Kluyveromyces lactis: one gene and its partners. The protein of the gene in region 1 interacts with the protein of each later gene in a pairwise test. Links are inferred from orthologs where the notes say so. Each region holds a gene or a part of one and is shown in the gene's direction. Other genes may lie near its edges. The genes, in order: EBP2, DBP9, RLP7, RRP12, NSA2, NUG1 and DRS1.

What was found.
Region 2: the proteins of EBP2 (region 1) and DBP9 interact in binary tests that used the Saccharomyces cerevisiae proteins (3 or more experiments, as listed by UniProt). The link is inferred for Kluyveromyces lactis from reciprocal best matches to the Saccharomyces cerevisiae genes EBP2 and DBP9.
Region 3: the proteins of EBP2 (region 1) and RLP7 interact in a two-hybrid assay, tested with the Saccharomyces cerevisiae proteins (2 studies listed by BioGRID, with this or other methods). The link is inferred for Kluyveromyces lactis from reciprocal best matches to the Saccharomyces cerevisiae genes EBP2 and RLP7.
Region 4: the proteins of EBP2 (region 1) and RRP12 interact in binary tests that used the Saccharomyces cerevisiae proteins (3 or more experiments, as listed by UniProt). The link is inferred for Kluyveromyces lactis from reciprocal best matches to the Saccharomyces cerevisiae genes EBP2 and RRP12.
Region 5: the proteins of EBP2 (region 1) and NSA2 interact in binary tests that used the Saccharomyces cerevisiae proteins (3 or more experiments, as listed by UniProt). The link is inferred for Kluyveromyces lactis from reciprocal best matches to the Saccharomyces cerevisiae genes EBP2 and NSA2.
Region 6: the proteins of EBP2 (region 1) and NUG1 interact in binary tests that used the Saccharomyces cerevisiae proteins (3 or more experiments, as listed by UniProt). The link is inferred for Kluyveromyces lactis from reciprocal best matches to the Saccharomyces cerevisiae genes EBP2 and NUG1.
Region 7: the proteins of EBP2 (region 1) and DRS1 interact in binary tests that used the Saccharomyces cerevisiae proteins (3 or more experiments, as listed by UniProt). The link is inferred for Kluyveromyces lactis from reciprocal best matches to the Saccharomyces cerevisiae genes EBP2 and DRS1.

What each region holds. Positions count from the first base shown.
Region 1 is NC_006037.1:606,469-610,629, forward strand, and holds EBP2 (Ebp2p), read left to right. Parts: upstream 1-1,634; coding exon 1,635-2,906; downstream 2,907-4,161. Other genes in the region: U5 snRNP GTPase SNU114, read left to right, coding at 1-1,344; ERG20 (bifunctional (2E,6E)-farnesyl diphosphate synthase/dimethylallyltranstransferase), read left to right, coding at 3,242-4,161. UniProt on the Saccharomyces cerevisiae protein: Required for the processing of the 27S pre-rRNA. Probably involved in the step of the processing of the 27 SA precursor into the 27 SB intermediate.
Region 2 is NC_006039.1:416,339-420,770, reverse strand, and holds DBP9 (ATP-dependent DNA/RNA helicase), read left to right. Parts: upstream 1-1,769; coding exon 1,770-3,554; downstream 3,555-4,432. Other genes in the region: cleavage polyadenylation factor subunit YSH1, read left to right, coding at 1-1,180; PEX8 (Pex8p), read right to left, coding at 3,615-4,432.
Region 3 is NC_006040.1:417,575-421,194, forward strand, and holds RLP7 (Rlp7p), read left to right. Parts: upstream 1-1,860; coding exon 1,861-2,817; downstream 2,818-3,620. Other genes in the region: LEU2 (3-isopropylmalate dehydrogenase), read left to right, coding at 3,329-3,620. UniProt on the Saccharomyces cerevisiae protein: Involved in the biogenesis of the 60S ribosomal subunit. May act as a specificity factor that binds precursor rRNAs and tethers the enzymes that carry out the early 5' to 3' exonucleolytic reactions that generate the mature rRNAs.
Region 4 is NC_006042.1:2,518,997-2,524,152, forward strand, and holds the start of RRP12 (mRNA-binding protein RRP12), read left to right. Parts: upstream 1-1,785; coding exon 1,786-5,156. Other genes in the region: CIP1 (Cip1p), read left to right, coding at 1-174; MRPS16 (mitochondrial 37S ribosomal protein bS16m), read right to left, coding at 700-1,062. UniProt on the Saccharomyces cerevisiae protein: In association with GSP1, required for nuclear export of both pre-40S and pre-60S ribosomal subunits. Required for the late maturation of the 18S and 5.8S rRNA of the pre-40S ribosomes and for maturation of the 25S and 5.8S rRNA of the pre-60S ribosomes.
Region 5 is NC_006041.1:1,205,095-1,208,738, reverse strand, and holds NSA2 (rRNA-processing protein NSA2), read left to right. Parts: upstream 1-2,119; coding exon 2,120-2,905; downstream 2,906-3,644. Other genes in the region: VFA1 (Vfa1p), read right to left, coding at 1-411; small subunit rRNA maturation protein LCP5, read right to left, coding at 705-1,892. UniProt on the Saccharomyces cerevisiae protein: Involved in the biogenesis of the 60S ribosomal subunit. May play a part in the quality control of pre-60S particles. Under normal, rapid growth conditions, high levels of NSA2 would allow the progression of pre-60S particles through the ITS2 processing.
Region 6 is NC_006040.1:1,173,183-1,177,556, reverse strand, and holds NUG1 (RNA-binding GTPase NUG1), read left to right. Parts: upstream 1-1,887; coding exon 1,888-3,480; downstream 3,481-4,374. Other genes in the region: SUA7 (transcription factor TFIIB), read right to left, coding at 1-956; PAC2 (Pac2p), read left to right, coding at 3,856-4,374. UniProt on the Saccharomyces cerevisiae protein: GTPase required for 60S ribosomal subunit export to the cytoplasm.
Region 7 is NC_006042.1:1,453,114-1,458,211, forward strand, and holds DRS1 (putative ATP-dependent RNA helicase), read left to right. Parts: upstream 1-1,621; coding exon 1,622-3,868; downstream 3,869-5,098. Other genes in the region: CYR1 (adenylate cyclase), read left to right, coding at 1-338; SYS1 (Sys1p), read right to left, coding at 469-1,062; LMO1 (Lmo1p), read right to left, coding at 3,974-5,098. UniProt on the Saccharomyces cerevisiae protein: ATP-binding RNA helicase involved in ribosome assembly.

The sequences.
Region 1 (4,161 bases):
ACTATTGAGCGTGTAGCCTTAATGGGAGGTAGGTATGTCTACGAACTCGAGGAAGCAATAAAAGGACAGATTGTACTTTTAAAAGGTTTTGAAGATCAGTATACGAAATATGCAACTTTGTCTTCGAGCTTGATGAACCCGCTAGCACCAATTAACTATCTCAACGAATCGGTGTTCAAATTCGCCATACAGCCTCAGAAACCAAGTGAACTACCGAGACTATTGAACGGTCTTCAACAAGCAAACGAATTGTACCCTGCATTAGTGGTTAGAGTTGAAGAAAGCGGCGAAAACATCATAATTGGAACAGGAGAACTTTACCTTGATTGCGTGATGGACGAATTACGGAAAAAATTCTGTGAAATTGAGATCAAAGTAAGCCAACCGCTTGTGCAATTCACGGAAAGTTGTCAGAACGAATCGTTCGCGTCAATTCCTGTAAAGTCAAACAACGGTGTAGTATCACTCAGCGTTATGGCCGAAAAATTAGATGGAAAGATAGTACACGATTTGACGCATGGTGAAATCGACAGTTCAGAATTGAATAACATGAGAAAGTTCTCCAAACGTCTAAGAACCGAGTATGGATGGGACTCATTGGCAGCTAGAAACTGCTGGGATTTATCAAAATGTAATGTATTCATTGACGATACTCTACCTGATGAAACGGATAAGCAACTACTCAAGAAATATAAAGAAAACATTTTACAAGGGTTTGAATGGGCTGTGAAAGAAGGACCATTGGCTGATGAAACAATCCATGCATGCCAATTTAAACTCTTGCAATTCAAGGTACAAGAAGACAGCATCGAAGATATCATCCCATCTCAACTAGTGCCAATGACGAGAAAGGCATGTTACATTGCGCTAATGTCTGCTACTCCAATTATCATGGAACCCATCTATGAAGTCGATATTATCGTATCGGGGGTATTGGAGTCTGTGATTCAGAATTTATTGAAGAGACGCAGAGGTGGAAGAATTTACAAGACAGAAAAGATAGTGGCATCACCATTCATAGAAATAAAGGCTCAATTACCTGTCATCGAGTCGATTGGATTTGAGACAGATCTTCGTGTTGCGACCGCCGGTAGCGGAATGTGTCAAATGCACTTTTGGAATAAAATATGGAGAAAAGTGCCAGGTGACGTACTTGACGAAGAAGCCTTCATACCGAAGTTGAAACCAGCGCCTGCTGCAAGCCTAAGCAGGGACTTTGTGATGAAGACAAGACGTCGCAAGGGTTTATCTGAAAGTGGTCACATGACTCAAGACGGGCCATCATTAAAGAAATACATTGATCAAGATCTATTCAAGAAGTTGCAACAAAAACGATTTGTATAGGCTCCGCATAGAATTCGGTCACTGACGCATTAGTAGCTGCAAGTAACATATAGTATACTCAAACACACCCAGATAAATATATATATATATAAACCGTTAACTCTTGAATCTATATGTTAGAATGGTTATAAGTCTCGAGGCGTTTCTTTTTCTCAAAGCATCAAGGCTAAAAATTTTCCAATATAAAGAGATGAGATGAGATGAGATGGATGAGATGAGGCGCTGTAACTTGACGGGTGAGGGTTAGATCTTGTTCAATCTAAGGCATATAGGTACGCAAAACGGCAACAATGGTTAAAGGATTCAAGTTGAAGGAGCTTCTGCACCGTCGTAAGGCTATTGACCAAAGCGAACAGAAGGTAACATCCAAAAAGACCAAACAACCAAGTCCATCTAATGCTCAGGACGAGGAGCCAGTGATAGTCACCAAGGATGACTTGAGAGCTGATGAGGACGTTGAACCAGAAGTTGAATCAGAAGATGAAGAAGAGGGGGTAACCGGCGAGTACGAGAGCCACGCTTTGTCCAGAAAAGAGAAGAGAAAGTTGAAGAAGCTGTCCAAGAAGCAGCAAGCCGAGGAGCCTTCGAAGAAGGGAGAAGAAGAAGAGGAAGAAGAGCAGGAAGAAGAGCAGGAAGAAGAAGAAGAAGAAGAATCTGATAATGAGAGTGACGAAGAAGATCGTCTAGATCTTGAGAAGTTGGCAAACAGTGACTCTGATTCCGATTCTGATGAAGAAGAGGAAGAAGAAGAAGAAGAAGAAGAAGAAGAAGAAGAAGAAAAGGAAGAGGAAGAGGAAGAGGACGTTCCTCTATCTGATGTTGAAATTGACGAAGATGCCGATGTCGTTCCATACCAAAAAACTACCATCAATAACGTAAAAGCTATGAAGGATGCTCTAGAACGTATTCAAAAACCATGGGAAAAGCATTCATTCCAAGAACATCAATCCGTCACCTCTCAACTCAACACCGACGAAAAGATCAAGGACATCTACGATGACACTGAAAGAGAATTAGCATTTTACAAACAGTCTTTGGATGCTGTCACCATCGCCCGTGAAAAGCTAAAGAAATTGAAGGTCCCATTCAAGAGACCTTTAGATTATTTCGCCGAAATGGTTAAGAGTGATGAACATATGGACAGACTAAAGGGTAAATTGATAAAGGAGGCAAGTGAAAAGAAGGCCCGTCAAGAAGCTAGAAGACAAAGAGACTTAAAGAAATTCGGTAAACAAGTGCAAGTGGCTACTCTACAACAACGTCAAAAGGATAAGAGAGAAACACTCGATAAGATTAAGGACTTGAAGAAGAAGAGAAAGCACAACGAAATCGGCGGTGACGATTTCGATATCGGTGTCGAAGACGCCGCCCAATCGGAAAAGAAGCATAAACCAAATTTCAAGAGAGAAGCTAAGAATTCCAAATACGGTTCAGGTGGTTTGAAACGTTACAAGAGAAAGAACGATGCCCAATCCTCCGCTGAAATGCCAGAATTCTCCCAAAGAAAGATGAAGGGTAAGGCACCACGTCCAGGCAAGTCCAAGCGTTCAAGAAGACACTGAGAGTAACTAATAGAGGAGCAAGAACGTACATGTACAATAGCATTACCACCACGAGATACTTCTTCCTCCATAATGTATGTAAATTCATGTATACTGCAAGTATATGTATTACGTTAAAGAAATTTTTACCCGGACATGAATAATACAAACGTGATTTGACTATCTCGTTTAAAGCCGTTTCGAAATCACGAACTTTGGAACATTCCACCATACTGATTGCGTTGAAGTATATTAACAGGTTATGTACCATTCAGCTGAGTTCAGCAGGCAATTCAATTGAGGAACGTTCTACCATTGGTACCTGAAACGAATAGACAACGAACCTGATAGATAGAATGAGTGATAACAGAGCCCAGTTTTTGGAAGTGTTCCCATCATTAGTACAAGAGCTTAGAGACATCTTGGCCGGGTACGGTATGCCCGAAGAAGCCATCGAATGGTACGAAAAATCATTGAACTACAACACCCCAGGTGGTAAGTTGAACCGTGGTCTTTCTGTCGTTGACACATACGCGCTTTTGAAAGGTTACAAGTCAGTGAGCGAACTATCTGCAGAAGAGTACAAGAAGGTTGCCATCCTTGGTTGGTGTATTGAACTGTTGCAAGCGTACTTCTTGGTTGCTGATGACATGATGGACCAATCGATCACAAGAAGAGGACAACCATGTTGGTACAAAGTGGAAAACGTCGGCGACATTGCGATCAACGATGCATTCATGTTGGAAGGTGCCATCTACTGTCTGTTGAAGAAACACTTCAGAACAGAGCCATACTACGTCGATCTATTGGAATTGTTCCATGACGTTACTTTTCAAACCGAATTGGGTCAGTTGTTGGATTTGATCACTGCACCAGAGGACAAAGTCGACTTATCCAAGTTCTCTTTGGAAAAGCATTCCTTCATCGTTATCTTCAAGACTGCATACTACTCTTTCTACTTAGCAGTGGCACTGGCCATGTTTGCTGCCGGTATTACCGACTCAAAGGACTTGAAACAGGCCAGCGACGTATTGATCCCATTGGGAGAATATTTCCAAATCCAAGACGATTTCTTGGATTGTTTCGGTAAACCAGAAGATATCGGTAAGATTGGTACCGATATCCAAGACAACAAATGTTCTTGGGTCATCAACGTTGCATTGAAGAATGCTACAAAAGAACAAAGAGATATCTTGGACGAAAACTACGGTAGAAAGGATTCTGAAAAGGAACAAAAATGTAGAGCTGTATTCAACGAATTGAACATCCAAGACAT
Region 2 (4,432 bases), on another chromosome or scaffold:
TGTAGAAGGTACAATGGCAAAATATTTGTTACTAGAACCTGAGGCTATTCCCTCGGTACACAACCCTGAGATAACTATCCCAAGACGTTGCCAAGTGGATGAAATAACATTCGCTGCTCATGTTGACTTTAGGGAAAATTTAGAATTTATCGAGCTAATTGGAGCTAGCAACATCATTTTAGTTCATGGCGAATCCAACCCAATGGGTCGTTTAAAATCAGCCCTTCTTTCTAATTTCAGCTCTCTCAAGGATACTGAAAACGAGGTTCATGTTTTCAATCCTAGAAATTGTGTCTTTGTTGATATTGAGTTCAAGGATGTTAAGGTTGCCAGGGCAGTTGGGAAAATTATTGAAGATCTCGATGAGTTTATAACTGAAGAAGACGCACTAAAGAATGAGAAAAGAATCACGGAAATCCATGAAGAGGATCCAGAAACAGAGGAAAGTAAAACGGAAATTGTCAAAGAAGAAAATGAGAAAATAGTTTCAGGTATATTGGTGTCAGATGAGAAGAATTTTGATCTAAGTTTAGTTTCGCTTTCAGATTTAAGAGAACATTATCAACAATTATCTACTACAGTTTTGACAGAAAGACAGACAGTCCACTTGGACTGTAAAAGCGAACTAGTATATTGGCATATCTGCCAAATGTTTGGTGACGTAGATGTATACATTGACGAAGAAAACGTCTCATTGAAGAACATCAATCCCGAATTCAAGACGAGGAAGATAAAGAAGGGTGAACTAGAAATAAAAATCATGGGAGATGTAATATTAAATATAGTTGACAATGTAGCTACATTGCAATGGACTCAGAATGTTATCAGTGATTCAGTCGCGGATAGTGTCATGGCAATTCTACTGAGTGTCGAGAGCGCTCCAGCAAGTATCAAAATGAGTTCGAAGTCATGTGGACATCATCATGGACACGATGATCACACGACTAAAATTAAGAACATATCGAGAGTTTTCAAGGAACAGTTTGGTGATACTTTTACATTATTTTTGAATGAGGAAGACTCCAAAGAAGAAATAAAAGGCACTATCAACTTAGGAAAAACAACAGCATGTATAAACTTCTCAAAAATGGTTGTGGAAGAATGTAACTCTAATCCATTGAAAGGTAGAATAGAGAGTTTATTAAAAATTGGCTCCGACTTGGTGGCCCCATTGTGTTAATCTGTCTCATATATAGATATGATTATATATGAGCTAGTCATTAATCATCTTTTTGCATTAACTATATACTTTTCAACCCTATACTGCCATCTTGCCAAGGTGTTCCTCTGTACTAAATAATCTATTAAAACTTTAAAGATGCATTCAAGTTTCAATTAACTGAATGAACATATCGTTTTCGACAAGTTACAAAAGACACCAAGAGGACAAAAAACCATTTACTAAACTACTAAACGCGATATATATATATATATTCTCATTATAACAGTAAATTTTAAATCAATCTACCAATACCATGGCAAAATCAGAGCTACAGTGAGGTATTTCATTCACATTGCCAATCCAGAAGAGACAAGATAACTCAATCACGTGACTCATAAATCCTTTTGCCTGTGTAGTTTCTTTTTGCACCTCAAGAAAATTTTTGGGAAGCTCATCTCATCTCATCCAGAGTCTGAACGTACAAGAGCTGTAAAACAGGCTAAATGGGTCTCAACTATCAGCAGCATTAACCTTTTGATCGAAACTTACAACCGAGGTTATAGTTAAAGTGTTCGACGAGAGCTAGAGTCCAGAAAAACGCTTCAATATGGCTCAAACAAGCGCTTCCCAGGGATACATTGATGATTCTTCTTCTTTCGATTCGTTCCACTTGGATTCACGTTTATCACAAGCCATCCGCAGTATCGGCTTCAAACACCCTACTTTGATCCAATCCAGTGCGATACCATTAGCTCTTCAAGAGAAAAGGGATATCATAGCGAAAGCTAGTACCGGCTCTGGTAAAACTTTAGCATATTTGATACCAGTGATTCAAACAATTTTAGATCATAAGAAGGCAGATCAGAATGATGAAGGTGCCACTCTAGGGGTAATATTGGTCCCAACTAGAGAATTGGCTCAGCAAGTTTTAGAAGTTGTTGAAAAGCTCATTGTTTTCTGTTCTCAAGAAATTAAATGCTTAAATCTTTCATCGGGTAATGTATCGGGAAACTTATTGAAATCTTTACTTACCGAAAATCCAGAAATATTGATAGCTACGCCGGCCAAGTTAGTAGATTTACTAGATGCGCAAGATGTTAATATTGACAGGTTGAAGTTCTTGGTTATCGATGAAGTTGATTTGGTGTTAACTTTCGGATACCAAGAGGACCTTACGAAGATTTCAGAACGCTTACCATTGAGAAAGAGTTTACAAACTTTCTTGATGAGTGCCACTCTAAATGACGATATCCAACACTTGAAGCAGCAATTCTGCCGTTCACCAGCGATTTTGAAACTTAATGACGACGAAGTCAACAAAGATCAAACAAAGCTTATTCAATATTATGTGAAGGTTGGAGAATTTGATAAGTTCCTATTGTGTTATGTGATTTTCAAACTGGGACTAATTAAGGGTAAGACATTAATCTTCGTTAACAATATCGATAGAGGATACAGACTAAAGCTAGTTTTAGAACAGTTTGGTATTAAATCTTGCATTTTGAACAGTGAACTGCCAGCAAATTCAAGACAGCATATCGTAGAAGAATTCAACAAGAACGTTTATCAACTGTTAATAGCTACAGACGATACTGAATATATCAAAGAAGAAGACGAAGACTTAGAATCAGAAAAAACTGAGGATGGTTTAGTTGAGGTTGTCGATGATTCCACTGTTACTACGAAAGACAATGCAAAGAAACAAAAGAAGCCAAAGCTAAACGTGGAGAAAGACAAAGAATATGGTGTATCTCGCGGTGTGGACTTCAAAAATGTTGCCTGTGTATTAAACTTTGATCTACCAACCACTGCAAAATCGTATGTACATAGAATTGGTAGAACAGCTCGTGCAGGGAAGTCAGGAATTTCTATTTCTTTTGTTGTTCCTTTGAAGGAATTCGGGAAGCATAAACCATCTATGATCAAGAGTGCTAAGAAGGATGAAAAGATACTAGGCAGAATTATAAAACAACAGGCTAAATTAGGCTTTGAACTACAGCCTTACAACTTTGATATCAAACAGGTCGAAGGTTTCCGTTATAGAATGGAAGACGGTTTCCGTGCAGTAACTCAGGTTGCTATTAGAGAGGCAAGGATAAAGGAGTTAAAACAGGAACTTTTGGCAAGTGAGAAACTAAAGAGACATTTTGAAGAGAATCCTCATGACTTAGAGAGTTTGAGACATGACAAGGAGTTACATCCTGCTCGTGTACAACAGCATTTAAAAAGAGTTCCGGACTATCTTTTACCAGAAACTGCTAGGAAAGATAATAAGAAGATCGGTTTCGTTCCATTCCACAAAAATTCGCATAGAAAGAACGGAAGAGTGGTTAAGAAGAAGGGGAATGTCCAAAGAAAGGGTAAATCTGATCCTTTGAAAAGCTTCAAATAGATATTCAATTAATTACGACCAGCCTATTTAACATTAGCACTAGGAATATATAAGTATAGATCAAATTCTTGATAAATTTGGAACTATCCTATCATACCACCATCTAATTGCTAGTTCATTGTGAGAATGTGATATATACTCCCATAATTTAGTAATGATATGTTCTTTCATTAGAGGCGGAAGAGTTCGGGCTAATTCGTTACATGCATCTAACCAATCCCATAAGTATTCATCAGGCACATTGTGGAATTGTTCTATGAGACATTGTATGCTAGTGGATTTCATTTGTAAATTTTCAGTGTTGATTATTCTAATATAGGTCGAATGAATTAGATCCCGGATTAAGTCATTGTCATAATTAGAAAGATATCTTATAGTTGGAAGTATGCTTTTCCAAATTACAATTAATTGTTTTTCTGTCATTAAAGATGCACTGCATTGTCTGAAACAATCATGTAAGTATAGCCTCAATCTTTTGAGTTTAAAGTTTGTGACATCTGCTTTCCAGGTTTCATTATTAAACACTTCAAGCCATACAAGATGTGCGCTTTCCCGAAGTTTAACATCGGAAGAATCGAGGTATGGTCGAACAAGAGGTTCAATTCTTTCTTCAAGATAGCATGCGTCAGGTATCTTCAATTCTGCCAAATTGAGTTGCAAATACTCCAAGATGAACATCAGCTTGGAGTGATAAATCTTATTATCCATATTAAATTGCATTTTAGAAATCATTTCTTTTAGTATCTGATCGAAGATATCGAAGTCCTGACAAATCCTGCCACATACGGAATATATGAGCTCCTGATATTTGGTAAATCCATCTAGTCCAAAGTCTTGTAAAATAAAACTTGTATAGAATAACGTCATCGTAATCTCAT
Region 3 (3,620 bases), on another chromosome or scaffold:
GAATTACACCCAGAAGCAATCGAAGTGATCAAATGAATGTTTTAGTGATTCTTTTTTTCTTATGAGCACTTGACAAGAGCAGGAATGAAAAATTGAACTCTAGAGTCGCTGAAGAGGTATGCACTGTGTATAATTTTGCAATAAATATATCAATTCCAAACTGATAGTTCCGATACTCACACACAACCCAAGAATGAGGAATGTTGCCAAAGAAAGATTAGATGTACCACTGATTGTCAACTCAAAAAAGAAAACACACACAACTCTCTTTCAAAAAAAAAACGAAAGAACTAAAAACACAACAGACAGGACCTACAATCCGCCTTGGAACGATACAACACTCAAAAAACTGGATATCCGAAACTAGAGTCCTACAAACCTTACTCGTTTCCAATCACTTAGATCTGACTCAATCAGATACGGCTCAGTGTGTATTAATTATATGGTTGTATAATTTTTCAGTTTCTCGAGGATTCAATACTTTCACTATTAAATATGAAAGAAAAAAAAAAGGAATTTCGAAGCTCAAAGCATTCAAAGAGTCAGATTACAATTAAGAATCAAGAAAGTCGACTTTTGGGTTCAGCGCGGGTCCTGCAATGTTCATTCTGATAACCACTACTCGATTTTCATGCCGGTTTTTTTATCGTACTTGTCGTTTTGATAGAAAAGAAAAACATAAGACACTCGAAGTGATTTTTATTCCTTCGAGCGTGGACTTAGTCAGCCCGTAGTGGAAGTACATTTCCTACTGTTCACGCTGTAGCTCAACAAACGGCACAGTGTATTTACTATCTTCCTAGAATCACGTGAGCGAAGGGAAAAATATAACTTAAGAGTAGCATAATTCCAGTGCTGTCAGCGGTATCGCTCAGTGATTTGGAATTTAAATCGAGGAAAACGTCCTACAATTTAGGGACAGGCATGCGTTCACGGTTAAATCGTTCGAAATTTTTTCCGTCGTTCGAGCCGCCCCACTGGGATCTCTGTTGTAAGAAAAGACCGCCGATTTATGATAAAGGGCGGACTTTGCTCTGAGGTTCCTTCTCTGCCTTTTCAGCATTCTTCCTCTCGAGGGACCTTTTCCCATTTCTTTTTTTTCTTACTTGTTCTGTGTTGAGAACTTGAACCACAGTTGATCTCACGGTTGTTTCGAAACAGAGAGCGGCATAGATGGTACAAAGAATGGAGCCACGGCTGGTTTCGAAGGAAACACTGCTGTGGGCACACATTTCGAGACTCCTAAAGCCACCTCGAAAGCCAGTGTCAAAAGCCAAGATATAACGATTTCATGAGCTGATACGGAAAACTTTACTGCCGGTTAGAAGTGCTAGTTCCTGCAGCAGGTAGATAGGGGAAACTGCTTGAAAATTCGTCTCTGTATATACGATTCACATATAGACAGTCACAATTTGACTATTTGACTATTTAACTTGCTTCCCATTCTTTGGGTAACTTTCCGAAATGTTCCCATTTAATTCTGAAGAATCTTGCTGGGGTACACCATGCTGCAGCAACAGATCATCCCAGGTAAACGCCAACTTGCCAGTACCCTATTCGAGGTCAGCTTGTAATTGTAATTGTAATTGATCATCTACTTGTCTGAGTGTCAAACAGAAGATCTTGGTTTCACAGTTCACGTGACTGGAAGTGTTTCTTTTCGTTACAGAAAATTTTTTTGGCGAGGAAAAAAAAGTTCAGTGCGATGAGATGCGATGAGATGAAATTAAAGATTATGAATAAAGCTTTCAATGAGAGATGACCTTGGCTAATCTGAAGTATTAGGAGCATATAAGTTGTATTATATAGAGCTGGTTTGTGCTGAGATTAATAAACAGGGCAGTAATATAGAAGCAACAAATGTCACAACCATTGAACTCGAACCCAGAGGTTCTTTTAAGAAAGAGAAGAAATGCTGATCGTACTAGGTTGGAGAAGCAGGAGCTTGCCAAGAAGAGAAAGGAGCAAGAAGAGAAACAGAAACGTAGTAAGAAGAACAGATTTGTTAGAGCTGAGACGATAGTCGCCACAACTTTGGCTACTGAGAGAGAAAAGACCAGAATCAGAAGAGTCAGAGACTTAGAAAACCAAAAGGTCAAGAACGATTTGTCACATATCCCATCCGATAGGGATTTTATCTTGCGTATCTCTGAAAGAGAAGCCGGTAGTAAGGCTACATCCGAATCTGAGCTTCAAGATGTTGATGAGGAAGATGAAGAGGACGATGGGTTAATCAGGGAAAAAATCGTATACGATGGTGAGCCAAGCTTATTATTTGTTATAAGAGTGAAAGGACCCACAGCTGTGAAGATCCCAGCAAAGGCTTACAAAGTGTTATCTCTTTTGAGACTTGTTGAGTTGAACACTGGTGTTTTCATCAAACTTACCAAGGACGTGTACCCATTGTTGAAACTTGTATCACCATATATTGTTATCGGACAACCTTCACTTGCATCTATCCGTTCTTTAATCCAAAAGAGATCTAGAATAATGTGGCAAAGGCCAGAAGATAAAGAACCAAAAGAGATAATCTTGAATGACAACAATATCGTTGAAGAGAAATTAGGTGATGAAGGTGTCATTTGTATCGAGGATATCATCCATGAGATTTCGACGTTGGGCGAAAATTTCTCGAAATGTACTTTCTTCCTATTACCATTCAAATTGAACAGAGAAGTCAGTGGATTCGGTGCCATCTCCCGTTTGAATAAACTGAAAATGCGCGAACAAAACAAGAAGACTCGTCAAATTTCAAACGCTGCCACGGCTCCAGTTATCCAAGTAGATATCGACTCAATGATTTCCAAGTTGAATTGATTAACTATAAAAGGAAAATATCTGTACAATAGACATCGGGCTCCCATTGGCCCTACCCACATATGTAGAAATACATTACTCTATTCACTACTGCATTTAGTTATGTTTAACATTTGATATAGCAGACGCTACCGCCAGGCACAATATATTCCCCTTCCCTCTTGCCATTCGCTGTACTTGTGGTGGATTCCAATTCAGCGCAGTCACGTGCTAGTAATCACCGCATTTTTTTCTTTTCCTTTCAGGCTAAAACCGGTTCCGGGCCTGATCCCTGCACTCATTTTCTAACGGAAAACCTTCAGAAGCATAACTACCCATTCCAGTTTAGAGTCATGACAGGTTCAACATCAGATGCTTCATATACTTTTATATATTGAATTATATAAATATATCTATGTACTCTAAGTAAGTACATCTGCTTTAACGCATTCCTACATTTGCTTCGATTTATTTTTATTGTTGATACCTATTTGAAGAAGTAAAAAGTATCCCACACTACACAGATTATACCATGTCTAAGAATATCGTTGTCCTACCGGGTGATCACGTCGGTAAAGAAGTTACTGACGAAGCTATTAAGGTCTTGAATGCCATTGCTGAAGTCCGTCCAGAAATTAAGTTCAATTTCCAACATCACTTGATCGGGGGTGCTGCCATCGATGCCACTGGCACTCCTTTACCAGATGAAGCTCTAGAAGCCTCTAAGAAAGCCGATGCTGTCTTACTAGGTGCTGTTGGTGGTCCAAAATGGGGTACGGGCGCAGTTAGACCAGAACAAGGTCTATTGAAGATCAGAAAGGAAT
Region 4 (5,156 bases), on another chromosome or scaffold:
ACTCCAACAAATTCTATCCCATCCCAATCATCTTTCCTAGCACAATCAACCGCAAGCGTAAATACTCTTTTGAACTCAACTTCAAATGCTACAAATACTGCTGCTGCTGGTCAACAGCCTGATGAACGAAACAATAGATTACCCACACATATAGAAAATGAATCCAATTTATAGTTGCACTGGAACACAATTTGACTCGATGTAACATCATGAGCACTAATCTCCAATACAAACCTGAACATTACACCAAACATACCTATTAAATACTTGAGAAGTTAGACATTCACTCACTCATTCACAAAAACATAACATAAACCATCTTTTTGTTCTTGTAATTTTGTTAATATTTATGAATTTTCGGAAATCACATAGTTTAACAGTCAGTATTCCTCGATGATACTTCCCTCATTCAGGGAAATATATGCTGATGACGATTATTATTATTGTGTAGAATTACCTGATAGCATCTTATATATGGTGATATGTAAATTTAATCACTTCAATTTTACCGCATGGGGCCAAGCTGTTAAGTGTATGTAACTACTACATTGGTTTATGACCGGAAAAAGTGCCCGAATTCCTCTTATCAATTTAAGCCTATATACATGAGTTCTTGACCGTAAGAAAGCCTTGGGAGATGGTGATTTATGCCCTGATTATTGATATACCGCTTTTAATACAGTAATCGGAACAGCTGGTCTATTCTTCAAAGACTTCTTTCCTAGGTTCAATAACAACCCTACTACTTGTGTAGGTCTTTCCCCAATTTTCATCCAGGATTCCAGCTTTTCTCAATAGTCTTGTTACCGTATCACTAGGTTGAGCACCAACACCGATCCAGTATTTAGCTCTTCCGAAGTCTAATTCCACATCTTTAGTAGGAACAACACCTTGTTTAACCTCTTTCTTCGTTAATGGTTTTGGGATTGGGTTGTATGTTCCTAATACTTCAATTGGTTTCCTATTCAACGCCTTATGTTTGTTGGTAACAACTATGTTGTATACTGGGGTATGTTTCCTTCCGAATCTAGCTAGTCTTATCCTCACCAAACCTTTCGTCATGATTATTGTATTTCACCAAACTTGGCGTTAAATTCTGGTTTAAGAGACTTGGTTTACTCGCTCTGGTCGTCTTGATACATAATATGTTTGTCCTGTTATTACGCTTTTAATGTTGATTGAATTTTTTTTTCTATCTTTCGAAGGATTTTCAACACCAACTAAATAAAGCATGTCTATCACGTGATATAGGTGGGATATCTAACAGCCGTATGAGCAACATTCGTCTTAGGCGTTTATGGCGACATTACAGCCTAATAGTATAGGAAGTTGATCTATGAGAAAGTATCTATAAGTGAGAAAGTGTTTATTTACTGGAGTTAGACTGACGGTGGGAATTAGTTTACCAAAAATGCAGTCATATAAAACGACTTGGCATTACAAATAACATCGCATTCAGTAAAGAAAGTTAACGACACAAATAATGAAATAGTATGTTCTTGAACCCGTTTAGCAGACGCATATATACAGAGTTGGCATATATTAACCAAAATTTATTTACTTTTTATTCTCTGCTTTCTTCATTGCCTCACGATCCTTGCTGCTTCATCACTAAGGGCTTAAAAAGAAATTTTTCACAAGCTGTATAAAATTTTCAATCTAGCTCATCTCATCGCTCATCTCATCTAACAAGTAGAGACGAGTTATAATCAACAACACCTCAGAAAAGAGAATTACTGAGTTTAACTTGGGATTGAAAACTGACAAGCGAACAAATTGTGCAATATGGGTCCTGAACAAGCGTCCAAGCTTCTTGAACTTGAAGATAAGCTTGCTAAAATCAGAGGACAATCTACATCAAAACTAGAGAATCAGAAGCACATTGCCATAATCTTGGCTGCTATTGAAGAAAATATTAATGAGCAAGAGGCAATTAATAAGAACATCGTGAATTATCTTATTTCTTTGATGTCCTTGCTGGATCAAACTATCGATACAGAAACTGCGGCCATTAAAGATCTACAATTAGCAACATCAACGATGTATTTGTTGGACATCATTTTTCATTATACACCAAAGAAAATATTAAAGAGCAGGTTTGCTGATATTTTGATTAAAGTTGCCCCATGTATTACTGATGAAAAGGCTAACGCTCCTTTGATCAAATCCGCTCTTGGTTGTTTAGAAGCTTTGTTAATTGCCCAGGATACGCAAACGTGGAATAACACTCAAAATTTAAAGGTGACTCCAACAAGAGGTTTGGATGGTCTACTTGAGCTATCTCTAGATCCAAGACCAAAAGTAAGGAAGAGAGCACAGGATGCAATTACCAACATTCTAAAAAACCCTCCACCTGGTCCAACAGCAGAACACGTCGCATCACCTTTGATCTCAGCATTCGCTATTAATGCATTGGTATCCATCCTTGATGAATCTGCAACGATTTCCAATAAGAAGCTAAGAGCAATGGGAGGTGCAAGTGAATTGAACTCCAAAATCATTCATATTTTGAAACTTTTGAGCAATATAATATCAACAAATCAATGGCCAACTGCGCATGTGGAAAAACTCTGTGATCTGCTATTGGAAGTTTGTAAAACCTCGGACCAATTTTTGGTATCTAATTCTTTTAACTGTTTTGAGGTTCTATTCCAGTCTATGGCCGAGTCTTCAGTCTCATCTGGCTTAGCGGAGAATAAATTCATGAAAGCCCTTGATGTCATTTTTTCATTAAAACCATCCCAAAATGATACACATTTGGCAGCAGCCTGGATTGCAGTCGTCGCTAAAGGTATCAGCACATATGCGATTCACGATCCATTAAAGTGTTTTGTTAAGATTCCTGAAGTTTTCAGAACTTTATCATTTTACCTATCAAGTGAGATTCCAGATATCTACTTTAGCGCAGCACAATGTTTAATCGCTATTGTCACTGACGCAATCAAATCAGAAATTTTGTTGTATCCACCTTCCGTTTCCGCTGAGCACTTTGAAGCAGTTGATGAAGTTATTCAAGAGTTGTCTGAGATATTTGTGGATCTATTATCTATTAAATACACACATTGTGCTAAGGCAGTGTTAAATGTTTTGACGGCTACTTTCAAAAAGTTGAAATATAGAGCCAATCCAGATTTTATCAAACCTCTAGAGATTGTAGGCAGTTGGAGAACAGATGAACAAAACTTCTTGGACTTGAGATCCGAGGCAGAAAACGTTATCGGTGGGGCTATAGAAGCTATTGGTGTAGATGCTGTACTAGGATGTTTACCACTAAATTTAATTAGTCCATCTACATCAAAACCGGGAAGGGCCTGGTTGTTACCAATATTAAGAGACTCCATCCAGAATTCTACGTTAAATACATTTTTCAAAGAGTTTTTACCTCTTATCAAACATTTCGAATCTCAATTCGATAAATTTGGTAAAGAATCTGTTCAGTTAAAGGTATATCAAACTGTTGTAGATCAAATCTGGTCTTTATTGCCACCATTCTGTGATTTGCCAACCGATTTGACTGAAGCTTTTTCTGATGAGGTGGCTGCTGAATTGTCTGGTTTGTTATATTCCCACGTTGAACTTAGAACGACTATTTGTCGTGCTCTAAGAAATCTCGTCGAAAGTAATCTAGTATATCAAAAAAACTCAACTACAGATTCGCTTCTTTTGCAACACTTTTCCATAGAAAGTGCTACGAACAGTTTAGAATACTTGTCTACCAAATCTTCTAATATGTTAGCGGTGCTCTTCAATGTTTATACTCAAACCGCTCCAAACGCCAGAGGATATATCCTTGAGACAATTGATTCTTATCTGCAAATAACAAAGAAAGAAGACCTTGCACAAACATTTAATAATGTATGTGGGCTCTTGAATACTGCTCTTCAAGAAGAAGCTAAAAAGAACAACAATGAAATGTCTGCTACTTTGCTCGATTTAGTTATCGCGATGGTAAAATATGTTCCACCTTCCTCATATGGTGCCCTCTTTGCTATTTTCAATTCCATCGTCAACTCAGAAAATGCATTATTCCAAAAGAGAGCATACCGTATTATTCATAAACTTTCAGAAATCGAAGAAGGTTCCGATGCCATCACGAATTTCATATCTGATATTGAAAATGTCATGTTGAACAGCGCATCAACTGTTCACACTTCCTCTAAATCAGCAAGGTTGGCGGCAATTAGAACTCTCGTAAATTTACTTCCACCTACTCAACTAGGATTTATTGTTCAGGTTGTGGCAGAAGTCATATTGTGTACCAAAGATGTCAACGAAAAATCCCGTGAGACGGCTTTTGAAATTCTTATCCAAATGGCTAACAAAATGGATAGTTCAGAGGGTGTTATCAAACTTTCCTGCATTCCAAATTATGACCCCAACACTCCAGACCAACCCTCTTCCGTTGCTGAATTTTTCAGAATTATTTCAGCTGGTTTAATTGGGGAATCGCAACATATGGTAAGCGCAACAATCACCGCATATTCTTGTTTGGTTTTCGAGTTTAAAGATAAAGTTGATGTTGATGTTCTCTTAGAAATTTATGACACAATCGAACTATATTTAACCTCTAATTCAAGAGAGATTGTCAAAAGTGCGATTGGTTTTGCAAAAGTTTGCTGTTTAGGTCTCAATGATGAAGTCATGAAGCCTAAAGTTCCAGAATTACTTCCTAAATTATTACGTTGGTCTCATGAACATACTGGCCATTTCAAGGCAAAGGTTAAGCACATCATAGAAAGATTGATTAGGAGATTTGGATACGATTATATTGAGTCAATATTCCCAGAAGAAGACTTGAGATTGCTTGCCAATATCAGAAAGTCTCGTAACAGAAGTATTCGTAAACGAGATGAAGGCGAAGAAGAAGCGCCAGCGCAAGCTGCTCCTTCAAATAAGTCGTCTAGATTCATGTCCGCCCTTGATGAAGCTCTATATTCTTCTGAAGAAGAGAGTGAAGATGAAGACAAAAACAATACAAAATCTGATAGAAGAAAGAAGGGTTCTAAACAATTCATTGTCGAGTCGAAGGAGACCCCATTAGATTTATTGGACTCTCAAACATTGGCGCATATTTCCTCGACTAGACCAAAATCAAATAAAAATGAAAGAAGAAGGATTGTCGATGATGAAGTGTTCAGCTTTGATGCAGAAGGTAA
Region 5 (3,644 bases), on another chromosome or scaffold:
ATCAAGTGTCGCTTGGTACGTTTGCTGCAATTCTTCAAGTGAGTTTGCTTCATCGGTCTTCTTCTTGTCGTCAGAACTCGCGTCATCCCTGTCCTCTTTCTTATCATCAGATGATGATGGCTTTTTAGAGTCAAAGATCTTATTAACCCATTGATCCCAGGTACCTCGCTCTTTCCTTTGTAGCTCCTCTATGCGTTCTTTGAGTGGCTTAAGACTAACCAGAGACTCGTGATACTCTTTTGGGTATAGAGGCTGTACAAACTGCGGGTTATCAACTAGATGTATATCGCATGTATAAAACCAATCAGGTCCGCTTCCATTGAACAAAACTGTGACTGTAGGGTTACCACATATCAGACATGCTTTCCTATCCTTTGCTGAGACTTTCTTTCTGGTGTATTCGTTCTTCATCAGGGGCGCTGGAAGTTGTACGCTGGTAGGAGATTAGTAGGGGTGATAGGTGGTGATTATATCTTGCAAAGTTGGAACGCTTAGATTGTATTAATTAATTATTGGTGATTACACCTTGATATGAAGAAAACGAGACAAAACGAAACGAAACAAACCACATCAAAGCTAGAGTTTGAGCAGTGCAACACCGTTATCATTCGATTTATAAACTACGTATTTGACACTATATGATGACAATAGAGACGTATGGATATTTTAGCCTATTTATACATAGAAAAAGAAGGACCTCAGGTTTACAACTTCTTCTTGGCTCTTTCCCAAGCATTTCTAGATTTCTTATTACCTCTTCTGCTTGTACTATCCTCCAACTTACGCTTGGAGTTGAAGATACTGAAATCTTCACCGGCGATCATATTAACCTTGGCCATGATTTCTCTTTGTTTTTTCATTCTCTTGTCAGTCTTGGATCCGTTGGGGTTCAATCTAGTGAAATTTTCTTCTTCGAATCTTTGAACATCACGTTCACGTTCTGTATCTCTTGCTGTCTTCACACCACCTCTACCATGGTTGACGATATTGGCACCGATAGAAGTTTCCCATTCCGGTTGTTCCGAGGAATCCTTCAAGTATTCTTCCATAGCTTGCATACGAGACCTGCTACTCTTATCCTTATGTTCTTGTGCGTTGAATTTATCCTCGAAGTGATGTTGCTTTGGTGGCAGAACGGCACTGATCTTAGGTGGTCTATAAACGTTATCTTTATCATCCACATCTTCTTCATTGTGAGTACTCTTGACAGCGATTTTCCCCTTGGCTTTCCCTCCAACTGATGTGTTATTGACCATTCCTGAACTGTTCGGCCTATATTGCATCTCTTCTTCACTATCAGAATCTGAGTCTGATACTTCTTCCTGGGAAGCACGTACGTCACTCAGTCCCTGCAATTCGGCTCTTTTCTTGGATTCTTCAACGTCTTTCTCCAGTCTAATGTACGCCCGCGTCAATTTATCCAGCTGGTACCCTAACTTCTTCTCCAAGGGCTTCACACCTCTTTCAAGAACAACTCGTTGTTCCACTGCCCTGACTCTACCCTCATCAACAACCATCTCTTTATTCAATTTCTGTCCCAATACCAACAGAAGCGAATTCAAATACGATAGCATACTCCCATTCTTCAAAGAAAGTAGAGAAACTTTTTCTAATTTATCACCTTTGTGACCTACCACCGCTGAACCTTGGAAAGGATGGGTCTCCTCATCATCATAGACTTCTTCTAACTTATCCAAGCTTTCTCCACAAGATTTCAAAGAATCTCTAATCGTTTTCAAAACAGTTCCTAACTCCTCAGACATGGCTATATTTCCGCTGTAACCCTTGTCAATAGAATGTAATGAGGTTTTATACATCAATAACAGTAGATCGAACCTATGCCAAACCCACACCAGACAACCAAACTTGTATCTGGCTGATACCCATCTCATCTCATCTCATCGCTTGATTCCAAATTTTTTTTTTCACTACGTTTCTTTTCGACATTTCCTATTGAATTTTTTTCTTTCAATGAGAAAAGCATACAAAGACAACTTGAACAACTAGCTCATCGCATGGGTTAACATGTGGTAAGAAGTCCATTCAAGGAGTCCGTGTGTCCGTTTGTGATTTAGAAGTAAGTCATCACCGAACAAGTCGTTCTTACAATAAAACAAAGATGCCTCAAAACGAATATATCGAACAGCACATCAAGCAACATGGTCGTAGATTAGACCACGATGAGAGAAAACGTAAGAGAGAAGCCCGTGAGGCTCATAAGATCTCTGAAAAGGCTCAGAAATTGACTGGTTGGAAGGGTAAGCAATTTGCTAAGAAGCGTTATGCTGAGAAGGTTGCTATGAAGAAGAAGATCCGTGCTCATGAGCAGAGTAAAGTTAAAGGAGGGTCCAAACCGTTGGATGAGAACGGGGAGGCTTTGCCTACTTATTTGTTAGACAGAGAACAGAACAACACTGCAAAGGCTATATCCAGTTCCATCAAGCAGAAGCGTTTGGAGAAGGCTGACAAGTTTTCTGTTCCTTTGCCTAAGGTCAGAGGTATCAGTGAGGAAGAGATGTTCAAAGTTGTTAAGACAGGTAAGTCTAAGTCTAAGGCATGGAAGAGAATGATCACGAAACATACGTTTGTTGGTGAAGGGTTTACAAGAAGGCCTGTGAAGATGGAAAGGATTATCAGACCTAGTGCTTTGAGACAAAAGAAGGCTAATGTGACGCATCCGGAACTTGGAGTCACCGTTTTCTTGCCAATTCTTGCGGTGAAGAAGAATCCTCAATCGCCAATGTACACACAGTTGGGTGTATTAACCAAGGGTACTATTATTGAAGTGAACGTCTCGGAATTAGGTATGGTTACTTCTGGTGGTAAAGTGGTTTGGGGTAAATATGCTCAAATCACGAATGAGCCAGATAGAGACGGTTGTGTCAACGCTGTGCTACTTGTGTAAGAACAAGTACAACCTATTACTACCAAAATTCCTACTCATCTCAATTATTCCCTATTGCATCACCCCCCACTCCGCTACGTTATTGTATATTACTATTTCATTTTAGAACTGAGTTCCCTTATTAGAAAGTACTGGCTAAATCATCATTATTTAATCATATATTTAGCGTTAAATACTGAATTATAGCCAATGAGACTGACAATTTCATGCCTCGCTGCCGTTGAGATACCAGCTATTCCAATGCATTGAACTAATTGCTACTCACACGTCGTGTCAATTGACCTTCTGGACCCTCAGGTTACCCTAAGTATTCATCTTTATTGTTTCACAATAAAGTAGGGTACTACCCTACCAAATCATACCAAATAATTTTATCTATATATATATATATATTCAGTATTATACATACACATTCTTTGCGCTTGATATACACAAACTTACCTTCAAAACAGCACTTATTAGGTCAGATTCTAGCACTGGTCCATATACAGATACTAGCGTCGACGTTGTTCAGGAAAAGAACATCATTGATCCCACTGGAAACGAAGTAGTTCCCCAGATCAAATTGATTTCTGGATCTACGTTCTAGTTTTCACCACAGAAACTGATCCGTAAGCAATCAGTGCTTTTTCCAAACCCCACCAGTATGTATTGAAATTTGTCCTAACGGACAGCCCCTTTACCCATTAACCTTTACCTTCTTTCCCCCTGTTCTGCATCTACAGAAAGCTTTTGCCAA
Region 6 (4,374 bases), on another chromosome or scaffold:
TATCCACCTTTCACGGTACCTTCTGTGACTTGTAAAGTCTGAGAGATTCTTGTAGGACTGATATTCAATTTGAATAGTAGAGTTGCCATATAGATAGCTGCTGCTGCGATGGTGATAGGAGATCTACCAGCCAAGACATTGACATCCTTAGAGTGTTTCGCGATGTACTCTGCAGCATTAGCCACCTGCACTGAAAGGCCCAAATGAGAACAAAATCTAGGGATGAAAGTCTCTGCACTTGTCTGTCCTGTGGTGATATTTGAAGTATCAATATTGGCAAACCCTCTATCATTCTTTTCTCTTAGAATGTTCTTGATGATGGTAAACGTCTTCCCGATTTCCTTCTTCCGCACGTTAGTCAAGGATAAGATTTCCTTGAAAGATCTCCCGACCTCTGCTCTCCGACATCCGACAAGAATAACTGAAGCCATGATACTTTCCTGTGATTTCCCCTTCAAGACTCTCTCTTCGAAGCATAATTTATAAGCTTCTTTAGCACAATCTTTAACAATCTTGGGCAGTTCTGCAGCATCACACATCATAGTAATCTTCGCATATGCAGCTTGCAACTCGTTATCCTTCTTGTCAACGATAGATTTCGACTGAGCCCTATTCAAATCCCTAGTAACTCTAGCATCACTTCCCTGGGCCTGCCCGATACGTGTGGTTAAATGGTTTCCATCCAACAAAGGATTTGAAGCTTCACCAACACGACTTGGATCGTCTCCATTCTGATCGTCATTGCTAAAAGTACGCCATTCTGACCTGGTATCCACAATTCTATCCGATAAGACTAACCCACATAATGCACAGACGATATCACCTTCACTAAACCGTTCCACAACTTTCGGAGGATAAACTTTACATTCGGGACACGATATAACAATGTTCAAATTTGGCCCCCTCCTTCTAGATGAGACAGCTACATTTGCTGAAGCTGCTGCTGGCAATGACATAGTTTCTCTTTTCTCTTGCCTCGGTATATGACTCAGAACAGCCTAAAAAAATAGCTGGAAACTGAACGGTAAGAAGTCGAATGATGAGCCGCTAAGATAACTAAACTTAGGCGCTGCTTTTGTTATAAAAGAACAGAAGAAATACCGATTAACCAACTAGTAGACGGACAAGACTGTGTAAGTTGCAACTGGATAGCTCCTTATCATTTTAGTTTCTCAATTTCTAAGCAAAAATGCTGGAAACTCGACGGAAATATATATCACGTGATAAACGCCACAGAAACAACCGTGGCATGTCTCTTGTTTACGGTTGATGAAAATTTTCACGAGATCCGGGTAACAAGTAATAACTTCGCAGTTATTACTACACTGACTGGAAGTAGAGAGGATGAGAGATGTGGTAAAACAAGTTCCACCCTCGCAACTTCGTATCGTATATCACGTTATATCAGTTCTTATTACTGAGATGATTTTTGTTCCCTGCTAGTGTCAAAAAAAACTGCGCAACGGCTACTGGGCTGCCTTTATATGTACTGACAGTTTCACTGCCCTTGACGGTATTACTGTATATATAATGTTAAATATCTGCCTGGAAGTGCTCATAGATATACCAAATACGTCCCAAATATTATTGACACAAATTATGGCTTGCGAGTAGCATAAGATTGCCTCGTAATTGACGAGTATCCACTGTGTTTCCACTGTCGTCCGCCAGCAAAAAGAAATTCTTTTCTACTTTGAAATTTTTCAGCTCTTCGAAATATGTTAAAACCTGCGATGAGATGAGATGAGATGAGATGAGACTTGATATTTACAGAACACCTGTTCAAGTAGATGTTTCAGTACTGTTTTCCGTGATAAGTTCACCGGAACAGCTAAGATATCTATAATCCAGTGCAGTAAATATACCTTTTTCCATTAATCAAAAGAGATGGTGAGAGTAAGAAAGAGAACTTCCAAGAGAACTTCCACTCGTATGAAGGAGGGTATCAAGAAGAAGGCTGCTGCTCAACATAGGAAAGAGCGGAAACTTGCTAAGAAGGATGTGACATGGAAATCCAATAAGAGTAAGGATCCAGGTATTCCGGCCAATTTCCCGTACAAGAACAGGATCATCGAAGAGATTGAAGCGAAGAGAAGAACTGATTTGGAGGAGAAAGAACGTAGAAAGCAGGAAAGGTTAGAGGCTAAGAGAAGAACTCGTGAACTAGGTGAAGATGTTGGTGATGACGATGAATCTATGGATGAAGATGAAAACGACGGCAACAATGGTCTTTCTGCTTTGTTAGAATCCGCTCAGCAAGCTGCAAAGGAGTACAATGGGGAAGGTATCGATGATACAATGAATGGAGAGCAAGAGGATTTAGAGGTTGCTGAATACGACGTAGACTTTTACGCTGACGCAGATGATGATGATTCTGAATTAGAAAAGTCTAGAAAGGCTTACGATAAGATATTCAAGACTGTGGTGGATGCGTCCGATGTTATCCTTTACGTGCTAGATGCAAGAGATCCAGAAGGAACTAGATCGAGAAGAGTGGAACAGGCCGTGCTTCAATCCCAGGGTAAGAGACTAATTTTGATCTTGAACAAGATCGATTTAGTGCCACCATACGTGTTGCAACAATGGTTAACCTTTTTGAAATCCTCGTTCCCTACTATTCCATTGAGAGCTGCTCCTGGTGCCACTAACTCCACATCTTTCAACAGGACTTTGACTCAGGCTACAACTGCTTCAAGCTTGTTAGAAGCTTTGAAGACTTACTCCAATAATTCAAACTTGAAGAGATCCATCGTTGTTGGTGTCATCGGTTATCCAAACGTCGGTAAGTCGTCTGTCATTAACGCATTGACCTCTCGCCGTGGTGGTTCTTCTAAAGCATGTCCAGTGGGTAACCAAGCTGGTGTCACTACATCTATGAGAGAAGTCAAGGTAGATAACAAGCTAAAGATCTTGGATTCTCCAGGTATTTGTTTCCCAAGTGAAAATAAAAAGATGAGTAGAGTGGAACAAGAAGCAGAGTTGGCCTTGTTGAACGCTCTACCTCCAAAATTCATCATAGATCCTTACCCAGCTGTGCTCAAATTAGTGAAGAGACTTTCTAAATCTGAAGAAATGACTGAAAGTTTCAAGAAGTTGTACGAATTACCACCTATCCCAGCTGCCGATGCAGACTCTTTCACCAAACAATTCTTGATCCATATCGCCCGTAAGAGAGGTAGATTAGGTAAGGGCGGTGTTCCAAACTTGGCCAGCGCTGGTATATCCGTTCTTAACGATTGGAGAGATGGTAAGATCCTAGGATGGGTTCTACCCAATGCTTCTAAGGAATCTGCTGCAGAACATGCTGCTACATCTGGTGAAGCTAACCAACCAACTCTAGGTACTGGTGCTGTCGCAGCACCAGCTAAGGTGGAACAAACGACCATTGTTCAAGAATGGTCCAAGGAATTCGATTTGGATGGTCTTTTCGCGTCATTGGATAACGCCATTGAAGCTGAACAAGACAACTTAGGTAATTGAGAACACAGAAAACGAATTATTCTGCATCTCTATGAAATACGATCAAGGATCCTATTGCTTATTTTATTTCGCATCGTTAAAGCTATAGATTTAAAAGCTTATGTATTAGGATGTGAATTTGAACACCCGTTTCAGTCCACGCACCTAATAGACAATACACATTTGTACACTACTACATATAAATGATTTAATATCTTCTTCGGCAAGACGTTTTTGTCATCTCTTTTCTTTAGGTAACAAACCTTTAAATAATACTTTAAATGCCTACTAAAATCAAAATGTTTAAAAGAGTGAAGAAGAGAAATAATCCGTGAGTCTACCATACGAACTCCAGGCTACACTATGTGTACAGCGTGACTAAATCTAGGGCCAAATATGCAGATCAATGTCAATGATAGATTGAATATAGGAGGTGAGTTTTGCACAGTACGATACATCGGATCATTGCCAGAATGGCCTAATATCGTTGCATATGGTTTAGAGTGGGACAACAAGCAAAGAGGTAAACATGATGGAACGTTAAACGGAGTACGATACTTCAGAACATCCGATGGACAGAGCAGTGGCTCATTTGTGAAGGAGACTAAACTAGATACATCTCGGCAAGAGAGAACATCGTTTGAAGGTGCATTATTGATGAAATACGGTGATACTTCATCAATCGATATTACCTACAAATTTGGGTCGAAAGAGACTGAGTCATATGGATTTGAGCATTTGAATGAAATGAACTCTGATTTTGACAAGTTGGAAAGTATCACGCTATCAGAAAACAACATTTTCCGAGCTTTCAAGACAACCTGTTCGAGCATTCCGTTTAATAGTGCTCATTCTTCTCTGCGATACCTTGATTTATCCTTCAATCTGTTTTCTGACATAAATGAGGTGTACCGC
Region 7 (5,098 bases), on another chromosome or scaffold:
TCCAAGGTGGTCTTATCGGGCTGGAAAATTCTGCCAATGGACGATATACTACCTTTGATAGTAATACCAAACAGGCCGTTATGAAAAACTCGTCCGAAGCAGATCTTCTTGCATTCCTTGACCATTTAATCACCCGAATTGAATCGTCAGTCGTCTTAATGAACTTACGCCAACAGGTCCAGGGTGGTTTAACCATATACAAATCTGGTGATGCAATGAAACAGAAATCAATCTTCCAATTGCTGGATGACCTTCTAGCCAGAAACCAATTATACATAGAAAACAGCCATAATGACGAGAGCGAGCAACAAAGCTTCAAATCTTTTCCGGAGGAGTAGAGGACTTGATTTCTTTATTGTTACGTCGAAAATGTCTCATGGTTTCGGACCCTTTGATTAATTGTCGTGATTTCATCAAGAATAATATAACACATTTCCATTACATAAGTATATAAACATGCAAAACTTTTTATTTTTGTGCTTCTAGATCTCTAAGTTCGATGCTTTTCCCTGGAACTTGAGAAGCTGGCTGGCTGGCACTGGCAGGTGCAGAATCGTCATCCACCATACCTTCGAAAAATGTGTCTTTCAACTCTCTCCACCTGGTAATCCAAGTCCCAAGGAAAATCAATATCAGTGTAGACAAAAATTGCAAGATAAACCATGCTAGTGAAGGGAATAGCCCTGTGTGTGTCCATACTACTACTAGATTTATAGCATGGATTGTAATGGCAAAATCCCACGCGAGTTTACTCCTTCCCACTATGATGGTCAAAAAAAAGACACAAATCAAGGAATCAATTAACCAAAGGGCTGATAAAGAAATACCAAAAGAGTTTGAGAAATCAATGTCCTGCCATGTAAACAACCATTGCTTTAGCTTTATTTCGTACCCACATATTTTCGCCCAGCAATAAAACAAAGTTGATGCAGTGAGATAATAGAACATTTGCAAGAGTATAATCTGAACGATTATTTTACCAGGGGACTGAGACTCTTGTTTGAAGATTTCAGTGGGTAATAGTTCTCTCGGAACACGCATGTATCGTCTAAGCGAAGCCATCTCCCTGATTGGTTGAAATGTCTCTAATCGGTCGCCTTTCTAAAACTGCACTTGGTACAGTTCAATTCTATCAAATATAACTGGTGCGAACAACCAAAAGAATTCACCGAATATTATAGGAGGAATGCAATAAGTAACGAAAGAGGACTAACTACTCAATTCTGTCTTTATTTTCAAGTCTCTCAAATCATGTCTCAATCACAACTCATCTTGGATTTAATATGTTGCTTAGAGATTCCGAACTAGTTTCCATGTTGACAACCAGTGGTTACCCTAACTTGACGATATGTTTTTCCTCAAAAGAAATTTTCCATGTTCAAGCTTTTCACATCTGGAATGGCGATGAGATGAGCTTGAGATGAGCTACGACAACTAGAATAACTTAGCAGTGAGTACTGTTCATTGTTCCTTATTATAACTTCTACAGGTGACATACTATTTATCTAGTGCTATTATTCTTCACTCATTTCTACTTTGCGAGAAAGAATAGAATTCTTGTTGTTCTTTGATTGAGTATTAAGGTAAGTGGAAAATAAAGAGATATACGGCATTCGTTAATATGGCTGTTAAGAAGTTTAGATCATTCGATGATTTTGTTCCTACAATTAGTGATAGCGAAGAAGATGTTCCAGATTTAGATGCTTCTGATGACGAAATGGAAAAGAAGCCAGTGAAGTCCTCAAAAACTAAGAACAAATCTAAAAAGAAGGCCAAGCAACAACAGGGATCTCACTTGGACGAAGATGTCCATGAAGATTTGAATCCAGAATTCCAATTCTCCATTGACAGCGGAGAAGTTACCACCAACTTTGCAGGCTGGGATTTCCAAGGTGATGAGAAGAGTGATGAAGTTGAGAAAAAAGATGTCGATCTAGATGGGATCATTAGAAGAAAAGGTGGTTTGATTATGATGGCTGCTACAGGCAGTGATGCCGAAGAAAGCCTATCAGAAGAGTCCGAAGAAGAACCAGAAGAAGGAGACGAACCTGGCGAGAGTGATGATGAAGATGAATTAGCTTTGGATGGGTTCGGTATGGGTGTCAAGAGAAAGGCAACAGAGGAAAATGAAGAAGATGAAGAGGATGAAGAAGAAGAGGATGACGACGAAGATGACGACAAAAAGACCGAAATGAGTCAGGCAGATTTAGGTAAGGGAAAAGACGAAGATGAAGACATTGAAGAAGACACTAAAGAAGAAATGGCTGAATTTTATGCTCCAGAAGAGGAAAGTGCGGATGCTAAAAAGATCGTTCATAAAACTTTCAACAGCTTGTCGTTATCCCGTCCTGTGTTGAAAGGGCTTGGAAGTTTAGGATACACCAGTCCTTCTCCAATTCAAAGTGCTGCTATTCCTATTGCCCTTCTTGGTAAAGATATCATTGCCGGTGCTGTTACAGGTTCTGGTAAAACAGCTGCTTTTATGATTCCTATCATCGAACGTTTGTTGTACAAACCTGCACATATTGCATCAACAAGGGTTGTTGTACTAACTCCAACCCGTGAATTGGCTATTCAAGTGGCTGATGTTGGTAAAAATATCGGTAAGTTTGTTAACGGACTAACGTTTGGTTTGGCCGTCGGTGGTTTGAATTTAAGACAACAAGAACAAGCATTGAAGACCAGACCTGATATCGTAATTGCCACACCAGGTAGATTTATCGATCATTTAAGAAATTCTGCGAGTTTCAGCGTTGATTCAGTTGAAATCTTGGTCATTGACGAAGCTGATAGAATGTTAGAAGAAGGTTTCCAAGAGGAACTACAAGAAATCATGTCTCTCATTCCAAGTAAGAGACAAACTCTGTTGTTTTCTGCTACAATGAACTCAAAAATTAAGCAATTAATCTCGCTATCTCTAAAGAAGCCTGTTAGGATTATGATTGATCCTCCAAAACAAGCAGCAGATAAATTGACACAGGAGTTCATCCGTATACGTAAAAGAGATCATCTCAAACCGGCATTATTATATCAATTGATTAGAAAGTTGGACAATACAAGCCAGAAGAGAATAGTAGTTTTTGTTGCTAGGAAAGAAACTGCCCATAAACTGAGAATCGTCCTTGGGTTATTGGGTATGCAAGTTGGTGAATTGCATGGTTCGTTAACCCAAGAACAACGTCTACAGTCTGTTAATAACTTCAAATCCTTACAAGTACCAGTCTTAATCTGTACCGATTTAGCTTCGAGAGGTTTAGATATTCCAAAAATTGAAGTGGTTATCAATTTCGATATGCCAAAAACTTACGAAATTTACTTACACAGAGTTGGTCGTACTGCCAGAGCGGGTAGAGAAGGTCGTTCAGTAACCTTTGTAGGCGAATCATCTCAAGATAGAAGTATTGTCAGAAGTGCGATCAGATCAGTGGAAGAAAACGCTGAAAGTGGAAAGGCCTTGAGTAGAAACGTTGACTGGACACAAGTCGAGCAAGTCAACAGCTTGATTGGAGCAAAGGGTGATGTTGTAGAGGAGATTATTGAAGAAGAAAAGCAAGAGAAAGAGATACTTAGAGCTGAAATGGAACTTCGCAAAGGTGAAAACATGCTAAAACACAAGGAAGAAATCAGTGCAAGGCCAAGAAGAACCTGGTTTCAATCAGAAGCTGAGAAGAAGAACTCTAAAATGCTTCAAGTTTTGGCAAAAAACAAAAAGCCAATCAACAGTAAGAAGAGAAAACAGCAAGAAGCATTGGCTGAGAATCCTCGGCTATATAAAAAGACACAAAAAGATCGTGTCGAATATCAGGAACGTCAATACAGCAAGAAGCAAGCTGCCTACGGAAAGAAGGGAAAGAAGGGTAAGAAATAAATTACTGTCCTATGTTCTTAGTTTTGGCTTAATTATCAATGCGCATGAAAATTCATTATATACTACATAAACGCAGTTGAGGTGTTATTACATAATCATCAACTCTCATTCGTAATATATACCCATCGAGAGTTGCTTTAGAGTTTCTGGATTGTAATAAAAGTCATCCGTTTCCTCCTCTGAGAAGGATTCCAGTGACTCATCATCTCTAAATTTATCATCAAGAGCAGCAAGTTGGACGTTCCTTCTTAATTTTATTAATGTATCGATTTGTTTCTCAGTTTCTGGTGATAATTTGGCGTGTTTACTTTGTGATAATAATTGTAAACCATCCAACCAGGTGTAGAAGCTCTCTGTACTCTCCAAGTAAAATGCAGATAAAATTTTCCCGTTTCTGTCAAAGGTGGTAACTTCTCTATAAATTGTGTTCTGAAGAATATTAATCAATCTAACACCTTCAGGAAGCTTTCTATCGAGTTCAATTTGCCTACTTTGAATGTTTATAATATTCTTTAACGGAATGACAGTAGTTTTGTTATTTACCATGGCAGAGTGATCGATGGTCACTATTTCATTATCTTCAACAGTGGGTGTCTTTTCCACCTTATGTTTGAATTCTTTTATCAATAAATTCATCTGATTATCTGATAATGCAATAAATGAAACCTTTGGTAATTTATCCTTTGCTTCAATTGGGTTCTCTGAGTACACCCATGTACCCTTCTGCATCAATAAAAGTCTTTGGTAGCGTACAAATTCCTGCACTTGGTTTTGTAAAATCTCATCAAAGCTACTAATATCTTCTGCCCAGTCATTGAACTGTTTTTCTCTCCATTCTGCTACCTGCAGCTGTCTTAAATCTTCGTACGTAAATGTCTCACATACCTCAACGAATGTTTCAACAAAAGAATCGTGTTTTGTGCGGCATATCTTATCTGCCTTATGAATCAGTATTTTAATAAGTTCAAGCAAAGATTCAAAATCTTCTTCAGTTTCACTCCTGGACTTATCCCATAGCGTCACCATAGTACCAAGAAGCACGGCAATGATTTCTTTAGTGAAAAATATGAAGTGCATCTTGTGAACCTTTGAGCCTAATTTCAAGTTTGACATTTCGAAGTAATCCCAAACAATTACGGATAAACGGGCAACAGTTTTCAAGAGTGGTAAAGGATATTCTTCGAACATAAGTTGTTCTGTGTAAGCTTTTTTGAATGTTAGATCGTTTTG